Linked DNA regions of Canis lupus familiaris. The protein of the gene in region 5 interacts with the protein of the main gene of each other region in a biochemical or structural test. Links are inferred from orthologs where the notes say so. Each region holds a gene or a part of one and is shown on either strand. Other genes may lie near its edges.

Region 1 (4,295 bases), on a different chromosome or scaffold from region 5:
AAGGAAAGAGAAAGAAGTACAGAATAGTGTCAGCTCTCTAGTCAGAATTCCGAAGTTGAAAATCTGGCTCAGTCATTTATCAGCTGTGTGACCTTGGGCAAGTTCCTGAATCTCTCTGTTTCCTCACCTATAAAATGAAAATATTTTAGTAAATAGAGATTACAGTATTTCTCACCAGATTGTTATAGACAGAAAATGAGACAAGGCACAGAAAGTACTCAGCAAAGTACTTGGCACAGAATAACCAGTCAATAAATGTTAGCTATTAATACTCTACACGCTTTTCTAAAATTAAAGAAATTCCTCTGTATAGTTTCAAAAAGAAAAGAGCTTGACGGGGAAGCAAGGAGAACAAAGACTAAGTAACCTTTATAAAGACAGCAACTCAATCAATTGCTCTATGTGAAAAACTGGGCACATTACCAGAAACAAGAATTAACACAATGCCTGTGAACTTTCCACACCCCATCCACAAACTCTGGCAATCTTCACCTTCTCTCTTGAGCCAAGGATTTGAACTCCTATCTGTTATGAAAAGGTGGAGCTCAATATCAAGGTAAGCGCAGAGATATAAAGTCATAACACAAAGGTGTGTAGAAAGCTCAAACCAGCAAACCTGCCTGTTGTCATCTCCAAATTTTGCAAAACGCATACATAAAAGGTTGAAAACTGGGGGTGCAGGAGGTTGAAAATTGAATTTCAGTGACAGTTTGACATATTACTGCACTGTAATGCACAACCCTAGATACCAAGAAGGTGGTGAAAAAGCACAACATAGGGATCCCTGGGTGGCGCAGCGGTTTGGCGCCTGCCTTTGGCCCAGGGCGCGATCCTGGAGACCCGGGATCGAATCCCACATCGGGCTCCCGGTGCATGGAGCCTGCTTCTCCCTCTGCCTATGTCTCTGCCTCTCTCTCTCTCTCTCTCTGTGACTATCATAAATAAATAAAAATTAAAAAAAAAAAAAAAAAAAAAGGAAAAGCACAACATATCGGGTTTAGGGCAAATTTATGTTCTATCAATATTCCTGTCTCATGTTATGCTATTAAACCAAACAGACTGGGACGTGCCTGGGTGGCTTAGCGGTTGAGTGACTGCCTTCACCTCAGGGCATGATCCTGGGTCTGGGGATTGAGTCCTGCATCGGGCTCCCAGCGAGAAGTCTGCTTCTCCCTCTGCCTGTGTCTTTCATAGATAGATAGATAGATAGATAGACAGATGATAGATAGATAAATAAAATCTTAAAATAAAAATTAAACCAAGCAGACTGAGAAGACCTAGGATACTTCCTGGATTTAAAGATCTCATACTCTTCCTATAATTGATACGTGTTAGCAACAGAGACTGACTATCCCATCTCCCTATTTCTGGCCAGAGTGAATGAATCTAAATTAGGACTATCCCTAAAGGGCAAGTTTGCAAAGGCTGGCTCAGGAGGCTCCTAATTCTTATGAGACTGGCCTGGAGCTAGCCTCAGCTGGTCAGAAGAAAACTGCTTCAATTTGAAAAATGAGAAAGACTACAACTCTTGGTGCTGTTACACAGATGATGGTAATCTGACAATAACCTCAGAATTACTCTGTATTTCACAAATCTCAAGTACTAAGTGCATGAACCTCCTTAACATTCTCCAAACAGCTCTAAAGGCGTAAGTAGGACAGTCACATCTCAGTGATCCTTGGTTAAGAAAGAAAAGGGCCACAGCCCCAACTTACTGAGCAAGAGGCCCTGACATATGACATTGACAATGCTTAAGTCCAATGAAATTGGAAGTTCCATTCACTTCCAAGGAAGGGACTGTTTCCACTGGCTTATTTCCTGGGAGGGGTGTGGGGGCATAGAATCTGTCCTCCACAAAATACCCTGAAAACTAGAACCCTCTAATTGTGGAAAAGAGTCTCTGGACGCCAAGATCTCTTGGACACGGTCAGCTGGACATCAACTTGTTCTGGGCTGATCACAGAGGGCTTACTTCTGTCACCAAGGCACTTAGCTCACCACCTTCGTCCTCCGCGGGGGAAGAGGACAGTAAAAGTATTTTGGAAAGATGCCCAAGAAAGGAAAAAGCTGACCGGTTTCCTGAGGGTGTCTCCATCCCTCCGGGCTAGTATGTGGTGACTTCCTATCAAAGGCCAGCAGGGGAGAATAGCTCTCCAAACCAAACCCGGCTCTCTAACAGTACAGGAAATGTTTCAAGCCTAAAAAGCCACTTGTAGGATTATCGAATTCATCCTGGGAACCGCTGCCAAGTGATGCCCCCGCAGTGCCAATATCCCCCTCCGCTCTTTGTCCCCACGTTGCCCGCCCTGCCCTAGTGCCTGGCCCCGGCGCTAGCCCCACCCTGGGGCCGAAGCAGTTCCCCTTCCCCTGGGCTGTCCTCCCAAGTCACACCCAGAGGCCTGGGTCAGCGGCTCCTCCTCCACACACACACAACCGCCAGTGGTGGGAACGAGCCCGGGCACCAAGGTACCCCCATGCCAGGGTCGCTCCAGCCCTCTGCCCACGTCCCTCGTGGAGGCTAGCTCGCGAGGGGCAGCCGGTCAGGCTGGCGAGTTCCGCGGCCCTCACCCCGCCCGGGGCCTCCCGTCCCGTCCCGTCCGTCCTCACCGGGCGGAGGCTGGGCGGGCGACGGTGGCACAGACGGGCGCGGGCCGCTGCTGTTGATGATGTAGTGGGAGACGCGCGAGTTCTCCGAGACGCTGAGCACATAGTCCCCGGGGCTGGTGCTCGAGTCCCGCACCAGAAACACCCCGTGCCGCTGGCCCTGCAACAGCGCCACCGCCTCCTGCCGGCTCAACCGCCCCCAGTACCAGCTACTCCGCTCCTCCGAGTCGAAGTTGCCCGCCATGGCCGCCTCCGCGCCTACACGCTGGGCCGCCGCCGGCACGCGCGCCCCTCCTGCCCCGGCGCCCGCCGCCCAGCGGACCGGCTCGGGTCTCAGCTTCACAGCAGTGCCCGAAATGGCGGCGGCGGCCGCGGGCCTTCCCCACCGGAAATGACGCGCACCTTGCCCCCGCGAGGATGCCGGGAAGGGGACCGCAACCCGCCATGGGGAGAAGGGCAAAGGACAGCTCGGGTGCGCACTGCGCATGCGCCGCCGTGTGCGTCGCCGCCTGGCGGGGATCGGGACTGCAGGGGATGGAGGGGCCAAGTCCAGGGCCGGTGGTAGGGGCTCAGCGAGGAGTCGGCGGAGGTTTGTGTTTGCGGTTTTGGCCACGCGGCTCCAGGGTTCGAGTTCCTGGAAGGCCCGGGAATTCTAGGCAGCAACTCCGAGACACAGTTGGACTACAAAAGATGTATGTGGCCTCAGGGCCTGAGCTCCTGGAGACTTTGGTCCTTTTCTGGTGGTTCCTCCATCTTCTCTCTAGACTGGCTTAAGTATTTTGTTTGCACTGATTGACTCAGCAGTTACTGACACCACATTTGCTCTGTGGGTGCAAAGGTGATCAAGGTTTGGGCCCTGACCTCACAGAATTCACAGACCAGTGGGAGGAAGCAGGAACAATGACAAAGGAATTCCAAGCACTGTGAGAGGGAACCAACCAGGAGCTCCAGCCCAGTCTGTAAAGGGATTCAGTCCTCCACCTACCAGAGGAGGTGGCTTGAGCTGAATGTTGAATGGCCAGTAGGGGAAGAGCATGCAAGACAGAGAGAGCAGAATGTGCCAAGCCAGGAGTTCTCTGGATTGAGTCTTTCAAGTCATTTGCCCAGATTCTTCTAAACACTAGTCGTGGCCAGGGGTATCCTCTATTCTCCTTACTATCATGATCTCTGTCTCTGTATTCCATATCTGTATCTGTATTCCTGTGAACAGCCTGTTCACTGGTGCCCTATAGACTTGCTGCTCTAAGTACATTGCACACATCTGACAGTGTGTGCTTTCTAAATTACAACTCTAAGACTGTTCCTACCCTGTGCACAACTTTTAACAGTCTCCAGAACTGGGACGCCTGAGTGGCTCAGTGGTTGAGCATCTGCCTCTGGCTCAGGGGGTGATTCTGGGATGTGGGATCGCATCCCACATCAGGCTCCTTGCAGGGAGCCTCCTTCTCCCTCTGCCTACATCTCTGCCTCTCTCTGTGTCTCTCATGAATAAATAAATAAATAAAATCTTAAAAAAACAAACAAACAACAGTCTCCAGAACTTAAAATTCCCAGTTTAGGTCACAGCATAAAATGAGGTCACAGTGTCCTCTTAACAGCTCCTACATGAACCTTGTGTTTCTTTTTTCTGGAATACCCTTTCACTCCTTTCTGGATCTGAATCTCAAATGTCTTCTCTTTTTTTTCTTTTT
Region 2 (3,673 bases), on a different chromosome or scaffold from region 5:
CCAAAGAATGAGGACCAAGCTGAGGAATTCTAAGTGGACACCCGGACAAAGATTACGGGTCTACCGCTAACCCTCTTTGATTTCTGTGAGCAGCACTCGATACTCTGAAGTTGAGTTAGGAAACCAACACAGGAACGGGCCCTTCTCTTGCCACAGCTCTGCTGCCTCTGTCAGTGGACCACAGGCAATTCTGGCACATTTCATGCTGTTTTCTGTAAGCCCAGCAGCAGTATACTTACCAGAAAAGACGCATGTTACAACCAAACTGAATCTCTGAAGGAAGATTTTTCCTTCCTCGTTGTTCTTTTGGATTGTGGAAAACCTGACCTTCTAAAAGATGTAGCAGGTTTTATTTGAAGTATAGATGACAGCACTCTAAAATTCTTAAGTTGACATCAAGTAAGGGCAAAAAGCCACTAAAAAAATTTTGGACAATTCATTTACCTGGGTAAGAATGTAACTCCTTTGGGCTTCTTCCATCTTTATCAAACTGGCGTTGATGTAGTCATTATCTTCTTGATGTAGTTTAATCCGACTATGGTCAACTGAAAGGCAAGTCAGAACTCGGAGGTTAGTCCTGGATGACCAAAGTGTCCACACAGGCAGTGCACCCCATGGGGAAAGCAAAAAAGGTGAGTCGGTGGCATTAAGGGCGTTTACATGTTTAATTGAGATTAGTCATCAATATAAGGATGACTTAGTATTTTCAGAAAAGTTTCTGGAAGTGTTTGAAACTTTTGCTAAAGAGCAACAGAGACAAATTACACTAAAACATGGGTTCTTTCCTAACTGGATAAGCTGTTTTTAGGTGCCACACTTATCACTGCCCCATAACTCAGGAGGCTGTGAGGAGGGGTTGTCAAGGGATCTGTTTTCAGATACCTAGTATATACTTTCATATAGTAAAAAAATACAGTGGCTTCAATCTTTAAAAGGGGGGGAAAATACACCAAAAATTTCACCCAGTCCTTAAAGCTCTAGTTGGTACAACGAACCACCATTGGTAGGATTTATGATCATCTCTCCATCTAACCTATGTCTAATGATTTGATGATGAAATGACCTAAGTAGATAGTGGTGTGGAAAGGGATACCTTGAATTCCTTTATGTCAGTTTTTTGGTTTCTTTTTAAGTTTTGAGTGTAAAACACTTAAATGATTCTATGAATTAAATTCAACTAGAATTGAATTCTAATATTTCGAATTCAGAAACTGTCATGATATAAGACATTTAAAAGATACTTAACTGGAAAAAATTAACTCTGAATCCAAAATACTGGAAGTACACTAAACGTAACTTTCAGAAGTTTTAAAAATATAACTCTCATTTGGAAGGTCTGCACCAGGTTACTGAAAAGCATAGCCACTTTTTTTTTTTCTTTTCACCATGACTTGGTCACAAAAGCAGTGGTTCCCTGGGGGCCACTTTCCTTACTCTGCTCATGTAGCAAACAAGAACAGGTGGGTATTTTTATTTCTGGTACAATGCAAGGAATGATGAACCCAGGTGACCATTCATAAATACTATCTTCTCTTCTTGAGCCCAATGGGAAAGAAGTTAAGGGGGACACATGGTTTGGGGCCTTTTGTTCTAAAGGATTCCAAGGAAATGTTTTTAAAAATTCGTCACCATTTGGAATAATGTTTCTCATCTCAGAGGATTAATACAAATTCAAATACTTGGGTAATATTTAAGTAGTAGACATTAAAGATCTCAAAAAAGATGATGAGACCATATAACCCGTTGATGGGTTACATGAATGGGTTCAAACAGCACCTGAACAGGGTTCAAGATGGGTGACCTTGGACAAGCAATTCTGAGCCCTGGGCTTCTCATTTGCCAAATGGAAGACAGACAACAAAATCACTTTCTACCTTCAATCATTCTCCCCATGTTCCCTGTGACCCTAAGAGCAAATTCTCTGTTGCTGGACAGTGGAGTTGGGGGAAAACAAGAGAAACAGAAGTGAGATTAGGGGTGAAAAAGTTTGGGAACTGTTTCCTGGAAGAGTATTTTAAATGCTTTATTTCCTCTGGAAAACTGGCTCATAAAAACATTTAGATGAGCACTGATGAAAACTGTAGAAAAGGATGTATTAAGACATTACTGACTAGTGCAGAGGAAGGATGGCAAGGGGGTCTCTCCTGGCTCTGCATGAAAGATGCCAACAGTGACTGTTCATTGAAGCTCAGAGTAGCTGGCCAGGACCTCACAACAGAATCACCTGAGGAAAGCTTTGTTTTATTGATAAAACCTACCAGGTGCCACAACCTAGACATGCTAAATCAAGTGTGCTGGGGTGCAATAATGTGCCACTTGATGGCCTAGCACTACACTTCAGATGTGTCTGGTGTACGCCTTTAGTTAACAGCCACTGTTGGTTAATCTCAACCACAGTGAATATTTATGAGCAAGATACTAAGCTAAGTGGCTTATGTTATTTTATTTCATCTTCACACAATCCTGAGATCTGCATGGCGACTCTCCTGCGGACAGCACCAAATGCTAGCACCCGCAGGAGTGGTGTGACTTAGGCATGCAGGAAGGGCCTGCGCAAGGGAGAACTGATGGAGACTTCTATGTTCCTGGCAGATGGAAGGCACTGCCACGGGAGATGCTGGCAGCTACAGTCCTCTCTGATGGACAGGGTCTAACATCCTGGGAGGTGATTTTTATTTTTTTAAAAGATTTTATTTATTTATTCATGGACACAGAGAGAGAGAGAGAGGCAGAGACACAGGCAGAGGAAGAAGCAGGCTCCATGCAGAAAGCCTGACGTGGGATTCAATCCCAGGTCTCCAGGATCACGCCCTGGGCTGAAGGCAGCATTAAACCGCTGAGCCACCCGGGCTGCCCCCTGGGAGGGGATTTAAAAGGTCCTCCGTGGCCTCGGTTCTCCATGGCCTAGAGGAGATGGCAAAGTTCATGCTCTTTACTTGGCTCCAGTTTTTCTTGCTTTACATAAATTCTAACATGTTTAGTTCTTGACTTTTGAGATTTCAGCAGATTCAGAGCCAATTACTCAAAAGGCAGAGGAGGCGGTCAGAGGCCAGAAGGCACAGTGAAAGATAACGGCAAGAAACAGCTAGAAGAATGAGGATGGCAGTGGAGGGTAGGGTGGGTGGGGGTGGAACAAGCAGAGCTGTCTTTAGTGTGTGTGTGTGGGGGGACACCACTCCTACTCTTTAATGGCTGTGCAGGGCATCATTACAGTTCAATACGATGCTCAGGGTCTAATAATACTGTTGCTGAGTCATCCAGAAAAGGTTATATTATGCCTACTATACTCTGCTTCAGCTGGTAGGAAAATGATTCATCATAAAAATAGTCAAAACTAAAAAAAGTGCTTTGAACTTAGCTGAATTTTCCAGAAACTGAAACCTCATTCCTTCTACAATCATGGAAAAAACGAACCATTCCTCTCCGTCTCTGATGCCTTTATTATAGGAAACCACCAAGTCATAAACCTGTACTGCTATCGATTTATTAGTAAAGCCCACGGGCTCAAGGGGTGCTGGCGGAGAAGGCTGCGGCTGAGCACCCGACAGAAACAGTGAGACTGGTAACGGTGATGTGAATACTTACAGGGACTGACATCTCTGTACCTGTTTCGGTTTTTGTTCTTAGGGAGCTTGGCCACTCTACACGGAAAGTCACTGGCTTCATGTCGGAT
Region 3 (4,196 bases), on a different chromosome or scaffold from region 5:
GCATGAAACTAATGATATAATTCACCTCCATGAGTTGGAGAAGTAATCACTTGAACATATTAAAAATCTCATTTTAGTTGGTTCTAATACTCTCTCCAACCTCTTATATCAGAATATACCATGCTCCACGTCAACTCCAATTACCAGCATCTTTGGGGACCTGGAGATTTCACCAATCAGATTCTTGGTGCTTAGGCCTTTGTTATAACACTATTTGATTTATAATCACTTTCTCCCAGTTTTTAAAGTCCATTTAGTTCAGCAGTTAATCTTATAGTCATTATACTGTCATGGCTTTGTTTCTTCTCTCTTACTCCACAGAAGCAACACTTAGGCATCCAGTGGGTGCTCCTTAATTATTATAGCTTTTAATGGTTAAAGCTCAGTGCAACATCTTATCAGCAAATCTATAAAATCAGAAACAGGTCATTCCAAAAAAAAAAAAAAAATCTATATCGGCAGCCTATTCCTTTTTTAAAAAAAAATTTTTTTTTTAAATTTTTATTTATTTATGATAGTCACACAGAGAGAAAGAGAGAGAGGCAGAGACACAGGCAGAGGGAGAAGCAGGCTCCACGCACCAGGAGCCCGATGTGGGATTCGATCCCGGGTCTCCAGGATCGCGCCCTGGGCCAAAGGCAGGCGCCAAACCGCTGCGCCACCCAGGGATCCCGGCAGCCTATTCCTTTTAAACATAAGTTCAAGAACCAAAATGGACAGCAAAATACTTTTTATTTAAAAAAAAATTCCAAGCAATTTCTTCAGTTCAAATTTGACATAATTTAAATAAAAGAAACGTGAAAAAATACTAAAGACAAATTAAAGCAAGTAATCAAATAAAATAATGCATTTACTTAGAAAAGAGAATGCTGCTTGCTTTAAATTATTAAACTTACAAATGTACAAAAGGTATACCTAAAATTAAACTAGGACAGAATTAAAGTATCGCTCAAAAATTTCCTTAGTAATTTACATCCTAGCTTCATTCTTCTTTAGAATATAATCAAATACATTTCTGGCCTATTAATGGTCCACCCTGGGGATAAACTATAAAATAAAAACTCAAAAAATGCGTCCTCGGGGATCCCTGGGTGGCGCAGCGGTTTGGCACCTGCCTTTGGCCCAGGGCGTGATCCTGGAGACCCGGGATCGAATCCCACGTCGGGCTCCCGCTGCATGGAGCCTGCTTCTACCTCTGCCTATGTCTCTGCCTCTCTCTCTCTCTGTGACTATCATAAATAAATAAAAATTAAAAAAAAAAAATGCGTCCTCGCTAAAGCCAATGCATCATCTTCTTAAAATTTCTGTTAGTTGGGATGCCTGAGTGGCTCAGCGCTTGAGCGCCTGCCTTTGGCTGAGGGTGTGATCCCGGGTTCCCGGGTTTGAGTCCCACATTAGGCTCCTTGCATGGAGCCTGCTTCTCCCTCTGCCTGTGTCTCTGCCTCTCTCTTTCTGTGTCTCTCATGAATAAGTAAATAAAATCTTTAATAAAATAAAATAAAATGTGTTAGTTATAAAACAAAAGGTGTCTAGGTAATTCAAATTTAGCACCAAGGTATCCTACATAGTTCCGCCACTTCACTGTGAAAGGTTTTGTTCCTAAACGCTCAAGCATTTTCATTTGTCGATTATTCCAAAGGCTGCAGTCCAAGAGTTCTTAAACTGGAGCAGGGAGCCCAAGAACCTTGAACGGTGTGCAAAGTTGTGTGTACGTGCATTTTTACGGAGGGAGAACGCCACAGCTGCCCTGAGATTCTCAAAAAAAAAAACAAAACAAAACAAAAAAGGCTTAAAAACAACAAAAACGTCTCGATTAGGATAACCCAATAGATAATGTGACGAACGGCACAAAGCGGGCATTTTAACCAGGCAACCGCCGTTACACAGGTTTAAAACCCATCCCCTCATCCAACAACCCAGACCCTGGCACTAGCCTTCCGATCAGAATGCCTTCTGGAAAACAATTTGGTTCAGAATGGGGTGAAAGGAGTTCAATCCCGCTCCCCCCACCCCCTACCCGGCGGTCGATCCCCCGCGAACCAGCCCCTGCTGTTCTCGACCCTCCGCCGCGGTCCGAGGGGGGCTGTGCGCGCGGGGAGTGCGGGCGCTCGCGTACCTGGGCGCGGGCTCGATTAGGGTGGTGGTGTCCAGGTAGTGGATCTTGTAGAACTCCAGCAGGGCCGGCAAGTGGTCAAACTCCTGGTCCCCGATCTTAAAACGGCGGTTGGGCAGCGAGTTGATGATGTAGTGGGAGACCCGCGAGTTCTCGGACACCGACAGCACATAATCCCCAGGGCAGGTGGAGGAATCGCGAACTAGGAACATTCCGTGGCGCTGGCCCTGCAGCCGGGTCTGCGCCTCCTGGCGAGACACCGGCCCCATGTACCAGGCGGAGCGGTCTGAGGAGTCGAACCTGGCGGAGGACATGGTGTCTGGCCGGGGCTCTGCGGCGACTCGGGGCGGCGGCTGCTCTCGGCTGTTCTGGACGCCTTCGCCCGACAGACGGCTCTGCGGCCAAGGAAGGGCCTCTTGGCACACCTCGAGGCGCGCTTAGAGGGCCGAGCCAGCACCTTCGTCTCGGCTCCGGGCCCGCAGCATCCTCTGCCGCCGCCCGCCTGCTCCGGGGCCGCCTCACGGACGGAGCCGGCCCGGGGAATGCAGGGCACAGCCCGAGGTCGGGGCGGGCGAAGCTGAGCCGCAGCGGAGGCCGCCCCGGGGTTCTGGGGCTGCCCGGCGTACCGGGGGTGCCTCCAGCCACTCCTGGCCCGGAACGCGCGACTCCGCGCCCCCCACGGCTCTGCACTGATACCCGCCGCCACGCGAAGCACCGGACTCCCAGGAGCGTCGCGCCTCCGGGGCGGTTTCGCCCAGCCCGTTCCCAAGAGCCACAGCAACAAAATGGCGGACGCGGGACAAGCGGCCGGCCACCTCCCCCTCCGCTCAGCGCGCTCGGTCTGCGCACGCGCGAGCTCTGGCTCTCAGCTGCCGCCCAGGCCCGCCCCGTGACGTCGCGCGGCGCGGCCAATCAGGAGCGCGGTCGTGACGGTCGGGGCGTGCGCCGCGCTCCGCCGCTCCCGCGTTCCGGGAGGAGGCGGAGGCGGCCGGGGAAGCGGGGGAGGCGAGGAGGTAGAGGCGGCGGAGGAGGAGGTGGCGGTAACGGCCACTCCCTTCCTGGGCTGCGGTGCGCCGCCGGGGGCGCTGCCGCTGCGGGCTCCCCCCCAGCTCCGGCTGGAAAACAGCTGGAGTCGAGAGGGAGCGGCGTTTCGAAAACCTGCTCCGCGAACAAAGCAGAACGTGCATGCAGAACCTCTGGCCGTGGAGGCGTGGCACTGAGGTGACCTGGCTGGCCCAGGGGCCCCGGGGGACCCGCGCTGAGGGAGACCCGCGGGCGGACACGCCTCGGTGGGTCGAGGTGGCTCTGGAAGGACGCGACCGCGGGGGCTGACGTGACCAAAGCCGAGGTGGCCTGATAGGCTCAGGGACCCAGAGTGGCCGGGAAACTCGACAGCCGCAAAAAGGGGTTGCGAAGGTCGGAGCGACAGGATTGAGTGGCCCGAGGAAGTCCACCTTTTGGTGCAATCTGGCCATCATTAGCGTTTAACTGATGAAATGCGGACTCCCCCGGGTGTGGCCCGAAGATCTCGTCCGGCTCCAGTTCTGCAGCTTCTCGAGCTAATCTCCTCGCATGCCCGCCCCCTGGCTGACCTGCTTCGGCCGGTCGTGGTGGCCTGTTTCTCCACCCTGCCTCCCCTCCCCGCGATGAAATTTTAAGAGATCAGGGATCTTGTCTGTCTTGCTCGCTTCTGGGCCTAGCACAAGGTCTGGACCTGACCTGATGCTCAAATATTTGTTGAATGAATTGACTTTTGAAAAAAAAAAAAAAATCCTCAGGCTATTGGTGCCCGATTATTGGTAGCACCACCCCTAGAACTGGACAAACGAGAAAGCCTGTAAAGAAAGGGAGACGCCGGCTATAACAAACCTATACAGATCCCTTTGTCAGTGGAGTTTCATTTCGGCGCTTGCAGCCCTCAGGTTGAACATACACCTAATTCTAGGGTGATGGGTGATATCCAGCTTAGGGTAAGCTAAAGGGGAAATGTCAAGGGTTAGTGCCTTTTGTGACTCAGCATAAGCAGGTTTTCAATCCCCTCCACCCCAATATTGTCATGTATTATTCTCAGGTTGAAACTGAC
Region 4 (4,338 bases), on a different chromosome or scaffold from region 5:
ACTTCCACTACTGGAAGATATCTTATGCAACAATCCAAAATAAGGAAGTTTTACCCATAAATGTTCATAATAGAAAATAAATGGCCAAATATTCAATCACAAGGAAATGGTTAAGCTATAAAATAGTTGCCAAGTAAAATATCATATAGCCACTGAAATATTAAATAGCTACTGGATTTTTACAAATGAAAAGTACTTATCAAAATGATAAGTTGGGAAAAAAAACCAACAATATAAAATGAAATAAACAGCACCGTCAAACAGATGCATTAAGAACATTAACAGAGACGGCCTTTGGGTGACAGGACTAGGAAGGCTGGATACAACAAAGGGAAGAACATAATCCACCCCACATTCCTAAGAGTAAGGCATTATTAATTATTATTCTATAATCTCCAAATTTGAAATTAAAAAAACTAGTACTTTATAACTGAATAGTATTATAATAGATTATTTCTAAGGCTCAGTTCTAAAATGCTACAATTTAATAATGCATTTTTGATCCACATAAGAATTTAAGAGTAACAGAACACTTGAAATTATTAGCTTATCTTCTATTCTCTCTCCACGGCACAGGGGACATGGTCTCCCTCTAGCCTTCCAGTCAAGGGAAAAAGCAGCACCATCTATCTAGCAGGCTTAATTATAGCTATTGCTTATCAAGTCATGGAATAAAAAAAGCAAGCCCTATAAAAGAATAGCCTTAGTCATCAAATCTCCAGCGTAGAATCACCTATCTATCCCTAGGTATTATGGAAGATAAAAGAAACTCAGTCCTTCAGAAATGAAATCTCCAATAGGATCCCTGACTCATCCGCAAAGCACGAACCCCAAGGCTACTTCCCCTGCACATAAGTTCAGAGACTGGGCACCTGTCCTGACGGCCTTCATCACCAAACAATGCTCTTTCCTGACAGGATATGCCCAGGGATAACAAGATGACTAGCATGCAAACTCACAGTGACCAAGGACCACACCACCTCTTCTTCCATAACGAAAATAAGACTGCAAAAGCCTGGTTTTAAACTTCTAAAATGCCCTAAAAGTAAATATTTTCTATTGGCCAAAAAAAGGAAAAAGGGGACTCCCTCCAATTACTTCTGAGTGGCACGACCCAATTCTCACTAGTAAGAAGAGAAAATACCCTCTTTATTTTCCTCGGATCAAAAACACATAGGCTAAATATCCACAGAAAATGTCCAAAACAGGACACAGATTATTTTACCTACATTTTTCCATCTTCGAAAGATACTAACAAAATCTCACTCCCATCCTCTTTCACCGGTCTAGGAAGGCGGGAATCACGAAGCTCAACAATACTATTACACTGCTGTATAAGGTCAACGATCTATTGTACAAGCTGTTAGCAATTTTAATGCCTAAAACTGTAGATAACCGAGTCTCTTTAAAATGTGAAAAAGCATTTTCAGGGCTAAAAGTCATTTCAGCGGCACCTTGTAAACAATCAAACTGCACTTTGAAACAAACAAACAAACAAAAACCCTAGACAATGTGTGCTGCCCATTCATTTTTATGGACTTAGCCGTGTGTCCTTTTCACAATGGAGAATTCCGGGGTTAAGGGATCATTCTGCGGGGGGTACCTTGCCCGGGACCAACCTCTCCCGAGCCTATTTCCCATTCCCGAACCCCGCCGCGGCCAAGGAGCAGCCACTTCCCCAAGTCCCACTTCCTTTTCCATTCCCCAGACCTCCAGAGTTTCCAACGCCCCGGTCTTGCGCAACATCCGTAGGAGCAGCCGCCGCAACCACCGCCTCCTGAGCCGAGAAACAACCCTAAAGGGAACATTGTCCAGCAGAAAAATAAAAGGTGGAGGGGAGGGGGGGCGATGTAGGAAGCGGACTTCTGGTCCCACGCCTCTGGCCCTGACCCCCTCCTAGGGGCTGTGCCTCGGGCGACTTCGGGAGCAGGACCTCGCACCTCCCGCAGCCCGTGCGCCGAGCCGAGGGCGGAAGGGGGGGCAGGGAAGGTTATCTCCCGGTGCAGCGCTCCGGCCGCTTCGGAGCCTCCGCCCCACCAGGACTATTGTTCCCGAGTTCCCCGCCCCCACCCCGGATAGGAAGTGATGGTCACATCCCCTCCGCCTCCGACGACACCCCCAGGGGTCGGCGGGGGCTTCCTGCGGGAGCGGGAGCGGGAGCCGCAGCGCCGCGCACACCCGGGCCCTCCGACCTAACGTCGCGGGGACCCCGGCGCCACCGCAAACCTGGGTGTCGGGGCCCGCGGCCGACCCCGGCCCAGCCTCGGGGGTCCTCGGGGGTCCTCGGGGGTCCTCGGGGGTCGCGGCGGCCAAGCGCCCCGTGCCCACCTCCGCGGCCGGCGGGGCAGGGCGGCCCCGGGCCGGGGCTGACCTGGCGCCCCCGTCCCTCCGCCCCGCCGCGCTCCCCGGGTCACCTCGCCCCGACCCCGCGCGCAGACCCCGCGGGGAGACCCCCCGGGAGACCCCGCCGGGCGGGGCAGGCTGCACGCTCCCGGCCCGCAGACAATAGGTGGTCGCGGGCGGCGGCGCGCGGGGCGGGCTCGGCCGGGCGGCGGCGGAGGGAGGCCGAGGGCGGCGGCGGCGGCGGCGGCGGCGGCGGAGGAGGCGGCCCGGGCCGTCCGCCCCGCTGCTCAGCTCACGGCCGCGCACAAAGCGCCGGCGGGAACGGGCGGCGCGGGGCGCGACTCACCATGAAGTCCCGGGCGAAGTTGTCCTCCCCGTTGTGGTCCGGGCTCTTCATGGCCTGGACCCTCTGGATGAACCGCCTCAGGATCTCCACTTGCTCCATCCTCCCGCGCGCCCGCCGCCGCCGCCCGCCCGCCCGGCGCAGCGCCCGCTCAGCCTTCCCCAGCGCGCCGCCCGGCCTCCCGCGCCCCGCTCCCCCCACCGCCCGGGGCGGCGGCAGCGGCGGCACCACCGGCCCGGCGCCCGACGCCGCAACTCGAGGAGCAGCCGCCGCGCTCCCCCGGTCCGAGGCGAGCCGCTGCGGCTAGCGCCAGCCCCAACCCCCCGCCCGCTCCATCCTCGTCCCCGCCCTCCTCCTCCCCCGTTGGAGACGCCGCCGCCGCCTCAGGAGCTCGGCTCTCCCTGGCCCTGCCCCCCGGCCCGGTCCCTCCTCCCCACCCCCTCCCCACTGCCCGCCGCCGCCGCCGCCGCCGCCGCCGCCGCCTCTCCCCACGGGCGCGGCCCCGCCGCCACCCAGACGCGCGCCCCCGAGCCGTGGCCCCGCCCCAGGCGCCGAGACGCCCGGCCAGGCCCCGCCCCCGCCCGCGGGCCCCGCCCCCGGGCCCGCCCCGCCGCGCCCAGACCCTCTCGCAGTGGCTGCGAGGCCCGCGGCGGCCTGCGGGGCCGCGGGAGCCACTTCCGGGGCGTGGTCCGGCCGGGGCCGCCTGGAGCGCCCGGGGGTGGGGCGTCCCGCAGGACGGGGTGCGCCTCCGAGCCCAGGAAACCCTGGTCGGTCCAGGAAGACTTCCGCTGGAACTTGCGGGCTCACGGCCCGCTGGTGGGAAAGGCGCACTTTGCGAGTGTTTCCGCGCCGCCCTGCGGCCACAAGGCCCGGCCCGCGGGAGTCGGGGGGGGGGGGGGGCGGGACGCAGAGGCATGCCGGGAACCGTAGTCGCGTCCCCCCGCGTCGGGGCGGGTGGGTCTGGGTCCCGCTGCGGGCCCGGGATGCTGACGGCGCCTGACCTTGCCGCCTCGGGCAGTGGCTGCGGCCGGGACAAGCCAAATATTCCTTGAATGAAAGGCCTTCTGCAGATCCGTCTGCAGATTCAGCCCTGGCGGGTGAGCCCTGAGACCCGGAGCGCACCCGAACACCTGCCACGCCTGTGTTGGCTGAATGAGACGCACTTTGTGCTTTGGAGCTCAGATTCGCAGCCCTCCGGACAGAAATGATTAACAGGCTTTTTTCTCCATAGAATGGACTTGATGAATTTGTGTGCGTCTTTGCAAGTCTTCTGGCAATTAGAGAGAATCTGTCCTAATCTAATTCACCATTTTTGCGAAGAAAGTGGTTTGCCTGGGCCCACCCCTGCCCCCAGCGTACCCTTAGCAGAGCCAACACTAGAACTCAGACCTTCCTGCTTTCAGTACAGCCCTTAGATGGATTGCCCCTCACTAAGGAACGTAGTGGTAACGTGGCAGGACAGAATGATTGGATCCCTGGACTTCTCTGGATCCCTCCTACCCACACCCAAGAAATTTATCAGATAAGCTTGGGCAGGGAATGGGTCGAAAATAGGGAACATGCGTGCTAGCCCCCTCCTCCCAGATGAATGTTTAGAACCACTATGGAGCTTAACGATAAAACTCCTTGAAGAATATAGGTGGGTACAATAT
Region 5 (4,218 bases):
TATACCGGAGCCTCAGGCACATCTGGTGGAACGGGATAAGCCCTGTGGCTCTGTGCCTCTTGAATTAGGGGACCCGTTGGGAGTTCTCCGTCTCCCTGCCTTGAGTCTTCCTTTCCTGGGGCTCTTACAGGGTAGGCCTGACAGAGAGGGTGAGGTGGACATTATTAGTTTTCTGCCAGCTGGGGTATGCCCCTTCCCTGGTACTTCTAGATTCAGATCGGAGTCGGGTGGCCCGACGGAGACTTGCGTAACGCCGGGGTCTGGTGGGTGGTGAAGGCAGAAGTCGGCTGACTTGAGGCTAGCTTTTGGGGTGCTAAATGGGGGAGGTTATCCCCACAGTCTTCCCAGAGGAGGGGGCCTTGGCTTAGTCCTTGAGGAGGGACACGTTCCTGCCCTGGATGGCGGGCGGAGAATGTGCATTTGGAGAAAAGGTGACATCCCCGTGCTAGCCTCGAAGGAGCGGGTGCGGGTGCGGGTGCGGGGCGTTGGGAGCGGTCCCGTTGGGTGGCGCGCGCCCGCGTCCCCGGAGCCGACCGGCGGCTCATTTGCATGGGGAGCCGCGGTGGCCAATGGGCGCGCGCGGCCGGGCATGCTGGGAGCCGGGCTGGGAGCAGGGCTGGGAGCCGGCTGGGGCGGCGGGGCGGGCGGCGGGGCGGAGGGGCGGGGCGGGGCGGGGCGAGCCCAGGGGCGGGGCGAGGGGGCCGCGCTTCTCCGGGCGGCGGCGGCGGCGGCAAGCGTGGTGACCGGACCGTCCGACCAGCCCGGGGCCGCCCCGCAGCCGCCGCCGCAGCCGCCCGCGGCCTTCCCGGGCGCCCGCAGCTCGGTGTGCGCCCCTGCGGGAGGCGGGGCCCGGCCGCCGGACACGATGAACTACCTGGTGAGTGCGGCCGACGCGGCCGGGGCCGCAGCGGAGTCCGCGCGCCGCCGACCGGCCCCCCGGCGCCCGCCCTGCCTGCGCCCGGGGCGGTCCCCAGCGAGGAGTCCAGTGAGTGGCATTTCCTGCCGGACCTGCGGGTCCTGGGAACCGCTGGCCGCTGCGGCCTCGGCGGGGCCGGCCAGGCGGGGCTCCGAGGCCCTGGAGCCCTCTCCCGCGTGGCGGGGCGCCCGGAGGCAGGGCTGCGAGGATCCCGGGGCCGTGCGCCCACGGGGCGGTGGGGAGGGCGGGACTCGGGGCCGCTGGCCGGCAGGAGAGTTCCTGGATCCGGGAAAGTTGCTGGCGGGCGTCCCGCTCTCCCCCTGCCGGCCACCGCCTGCCGGGTGACCTTGGGCCTGCGACACCCGCCTCCCGCCTCAGTTTCCTCGGCCACGGGGACAGGTCCGAGATTTCCTTGGACCACGAACTTCCAGGAGGCGTGGATTTCCAGGAAATGGGGTGGCGGTCCATCCCTGTCCGTCGGTGTGTTCTGGAGTGGGGAGCTGCCCCCTCCCCGCCCCCAGGCCCGCGGTTGAGCGAGCAAGTGTGTGGTGACCGAGGAGGTGTTGGTGCTGGCCGACAGCCAGTCCTGGGTCTGTTAATGATTCACCCTCCGGCCTGTCCCTGCCGGATTCCAGGCCTGGGGGCAGGCACTTCACCTTCACCTACCGTGGTTGCAAATACTGAGGTAGGAGCGGGATCCTGGCGGCGGGTGTGCAGTGTGGCATGGTGACCCCGGGGCCCAGCGTCGGAGGGCCCGGTGCATGGAGCTGGAGGGGAAGCGAGGCTGCCATTTGGGTGTCCCCCAGAGCTCCCAGCCCCTCGCTGCTGCCTGAGGCACAGCCCAGAGCAGTACTGAAGGAGTTGGAGAAGTTGAGGTTTGCTGAGGGCTGGGATGCTTGTGGTCCGTGGAAGTTAGTGCCCGGGGAGATTTTGGGGTCTTGGATCCCAGACTGGGGGTAGCGGCTCATTGGTCAGTCTTGAGGACATGGAGTTTCTTTTTTCCTTACCCCTACCATGAGGGTCTAGGCTGGGAGGCACTATTCTGGTTTGCTGTGACTTCTCTGCAGATTTCAGCCAGGCTGGGACATGTTCCTCATCCTTCTGGGCCCGGAGACCCATCCTCCTGTGTCCATTTCCTTTCCCAGGTGGAGAGCTGACGATGTGGGGTTCTGGGGTGGCAGGGATGATGGGCTTAGAAGAACAGGTGTGTGCTGGGTGCTGGGAGTTGCTGCTGGCATGCCGTCCTGGCAGCAGCACCCACTACCCGCTCGCTCTGGGCAAGGAAGGAACTCTGTGGGAACTGGTGGAGGCCGGGCAGCCCCAGGTTCTGCTGGGACAGTTACCCTTGGTTCTAGGAGGGGAGCTGGAGCCTCTGGCCATTACAGTTTGTGCTGAGCCAGAGTGCGAGTGCTGTGGGCTGCTAGGACCGTTTCCTTGGGCCTAAACAGGGGATTGAAGCAAGGTCAGCGCCACTAGGGCATCCCTAGTGGGAAAAGCCCAAGACAGCTGCTCTCCTTGTTATACAGATGGGGAGACTGACTGAGGCACAGATTGGATTTAGAACTTGGTCTCCCGGGGATCCCTGGGTGGCGCAGCGGTTTGGCGCCTGCCTTTGGCCCAGGGCGCGATCCTGGAGACCCGGGATCGAATCCCACGTCGGGCTCCCGGTGCATGGAGCCTGTTTCTCCCTCTGCCTGTGTCTCTGCCTCTCTCTCTCTGTGACTATCATAAATAAATAAAAATTAAAAAAAAAAAAAAGAACTTGGTCTCCCGGTATGGCCCCATGCTCTGCCTCACATGTGCTCTACCGCCCCCTCCCTTGGATTGGGGGTGCTCTGGTCCTTAGGGTGCTGCCATGCTCTACTGGCCACCATCTTGGTGGGGTCCTTCTGGCATCCGTTGTCTAGGTGTTCCTACCACCCTTTTCTCTTGGGCCTGAAAACTCCCTCCCCTACCTCCCAGGAGCCCACAGCCAGTGGGAGCAGCCAGAAACAGAGGCCAGGTGTGCTCCCCAGGAGGCTTCTAGAGGGGTGAGGGACAGTGTTGGAGTCATACTTGGAGAACAAGGTGCAGGGTCAGGGGAATAGGGATTGTTCTCCAGCAAAGACACAGGCCAAGATCCTCTTTCTCTGGGCCCTCCAAATAAGGGGCTGAAGGGTGGACTCCCTTCAAGGGAGGGTATGGGGCTGGGCCCTCTAGCGCTGGAGAGGCCCTGGCTCTGCTATCTTGCTGCCCTGATTCCCTTCCACTTCTAAGGGGTGAAGTTCTGGCCTGGAGTGGAAGGAGTTCAAACAGTGGAGGGGCAGGGCCCCATTGCAGACCCTCATCTCCACAGTGCATCCCAGAAATCAGGGGTTTGATACTTTTATCTGAGCGAGAACCCCACTATTGTGCCTTTTGTCCCCCTCCATTCCTGCTCAGGTGGATGGTGCTGCTATAAGGGTTACCGCAAGTTATCATTTAGGACTAGAGAGTAGCAGAACTGCAGGGGGCTTTGAACATCGAGTTGGAGAAAATGGGGTCTTAGGAGTGAGATCCCTCCTGTCCCCCCTTGAGCCATTCCTCCCGCCTCTTTCCCTCCATGATGACATATCTGGGGCTGGGTTACCCCTGAAGTGTTACCCTGAAGTCTCATGATGTTGAGCCCCCTCCAAAAGACCACCCAGCCCACTCAAGAATCCTGAGTCCTCCCCACAAGGCCCCAGGGACAGAGAAGGAGAGTAATGAGTAATCAAGTGCAGGTCTGGGTTCTAACAGCCTGGGGCAGTTCCCTGGGCTGGGTGGCAATGGTGAGAGTTCTAGAGGGTTGCTTGTTCTCACCAGCTGTGGGGTGCTAGGGGCCCATGTCTGCCCAGTCTCCCAGGGACAGTGTCTGGGATGCCCTGGCAAGGGTGGGAGCAAGGTCTTGCTTCTGACTCAAAGCTGGCCCGGGACACAGAAGCAACTGCTGTGGCCGCTGCAAACGAGACTACGCCACAGCTCCTGTTTGTGTGAGGGAGCTGCTGGCAGTGGCCATTACAGACGTGGGTTTTTAGTCCTTCATTCAACAGACCTGCCGCTTAGGTGATGAGTGTTAGACAGGGCCGAAGACCTGCGCACAGTCCCAGCCATGTCCGCTGAGCCTCCAGCACTTCTGAGATGGGTAGGGCAGGAGCTATGCTCCCCCTGGGACAGCTCTGGAATAGGGGCTTGCCCATGGTTTTGCTCTTTGGACTTGAGCCCAGACCCTGGCTACTAATTGTTCCTGGGGGTGTTAGGAGAATGCTGATAAGGCTGGCTGGGATGGAGTCTCATCAAGGATG

The links.
Region 1: the proteins of BCAR1 (region 5) and CRK form a complex in vitro, tested with the Homo sapiens proteins (2 studies listed by BioGRID, with this or other methods). The link is inferred for Canis lupus familiaris from reciprocal best matches to the Homo sapiens genes BCAR1 and CRK.
Region 2: the proteins of BCAR1 (region 5) and PTPN1 form a complex in vitro, tested with the Homo sapiens proteins (3 studies listed by BioGRID and IntAct, with this or other methods). The link is inferred for Canis lupus familiaris from reciprocal best matches to the Homo sapiens genes BCAR1 and PTPN1.
Region 3: the proteins of BCAR1 (region 5) and CRKL interact in a test that uses a peptide from one of them, tested with the Homo sapiens proteins (2 studies listed by BioGRID, with this or other methods). The link is inferred for Canis lupus familiaris from reciprocal best matches to the Homo sapiens genes BCAR1 and CRKL.
Region 4: the proteins of BCAR1 (region 5) and PTPN12 form a complex in vitro, tested with the Homo sapiens proteins (3 studies listed by BioGRID and IntAct, with this or other methods). The link is inferred for Canis lupus familiaris from reciprocal best matches to the Homo sapiens genes BCAR1 and PTPN12.

Annotation. Positions count from the first base shown.
Region 1 is NC_049230.1:45,570,683-45,574,977, forward strand, and holds the start of CRK (adapter molecule crk), read right to left. Parts: upstream 2,956-4,295; 5' UTR 2,849-2,955; coding exon 2,608-2,848; intron 1-2,607. UniProt on the Homo sapiens protein: Involved in cell branching and adhesion mediated by BCAR1-CRK-RAPGEF1 signaling and activation of RAP1.
Region 2 is NC_049245.1:37,605,346-37,609,018, reverse strand, and holds part of PTPN1 (tyrosine-protein phosphatase non-receptor type 1), read right to left. Parts: coding exon 3,586-3,673; intron 546-3,585; coding exon 445-545; intron 1-444. UniProt on the Homo sapiens protein: Tyrosine-protein phosphatase which acts as a regulator of endoplasmic reticulum unfolded protein response. Mediates dephosphorylation of EIF2AK3/PERK; inactivating the protein kinase activity of EIF2AK3/PERK.
Region 3 is NC_049247.1:30,746,875-30,751,070, forward strand, and holds the start of CRKL (crk-like protein), read right to left. Parts: upstream 2,961-4,196; 5' UTR 2,428-2,960; coding exon 2,117-2,427; intron 1-2,116. UniProt on the Homo sapiens protein: May mediate the transduction of intracellular signals.
Region 4 is NC_049239.1:17,884,946-17,889,283, reverse strand, and holds the start of PTPN12 (tyrosine-protein phosphatase non-receptor type 12), read right to left. Parts: upstream 2,849-4,338; 5' UTR 2,789-2,848; coding exon 2,690-2,788; intron 1,796-2,689; exon of another isoform or gene 1,747-1,795; coding exon of another isoform or gene 1,711-1,746; intron 1-1,710. UniProt on the Homo sapiens protein: Dephosphorylates a range of proteins, and thereby regulates cellular signaling cascades. Dephosphorylates cellular tyrosine kinases, such as ERBB2 and PTK2B/PYK2, and thereby regulates signaling via ERBB2 and PTK2B/PYK2.
Region 5 is NC_049226.1:76,051,587-76,055,804, forward strand, and holds the start of BCAR1 (breast cancer anti-estrogen resistance protein 1), read left to right. Parts: upstream 1-1,312; 5' UTR 1,313-1,367; coding exon 1,368-1,601; intron 1,602-4,218. UniProt on the Homo sapiens protein: Docking protein which plays a central coordinating role for tyrosine kinase-based signaling related to cell adhesion. Implicated in induction of cell migration and cell branching. Involved in the BCAR3-mediated inhibition of TGFB signaling.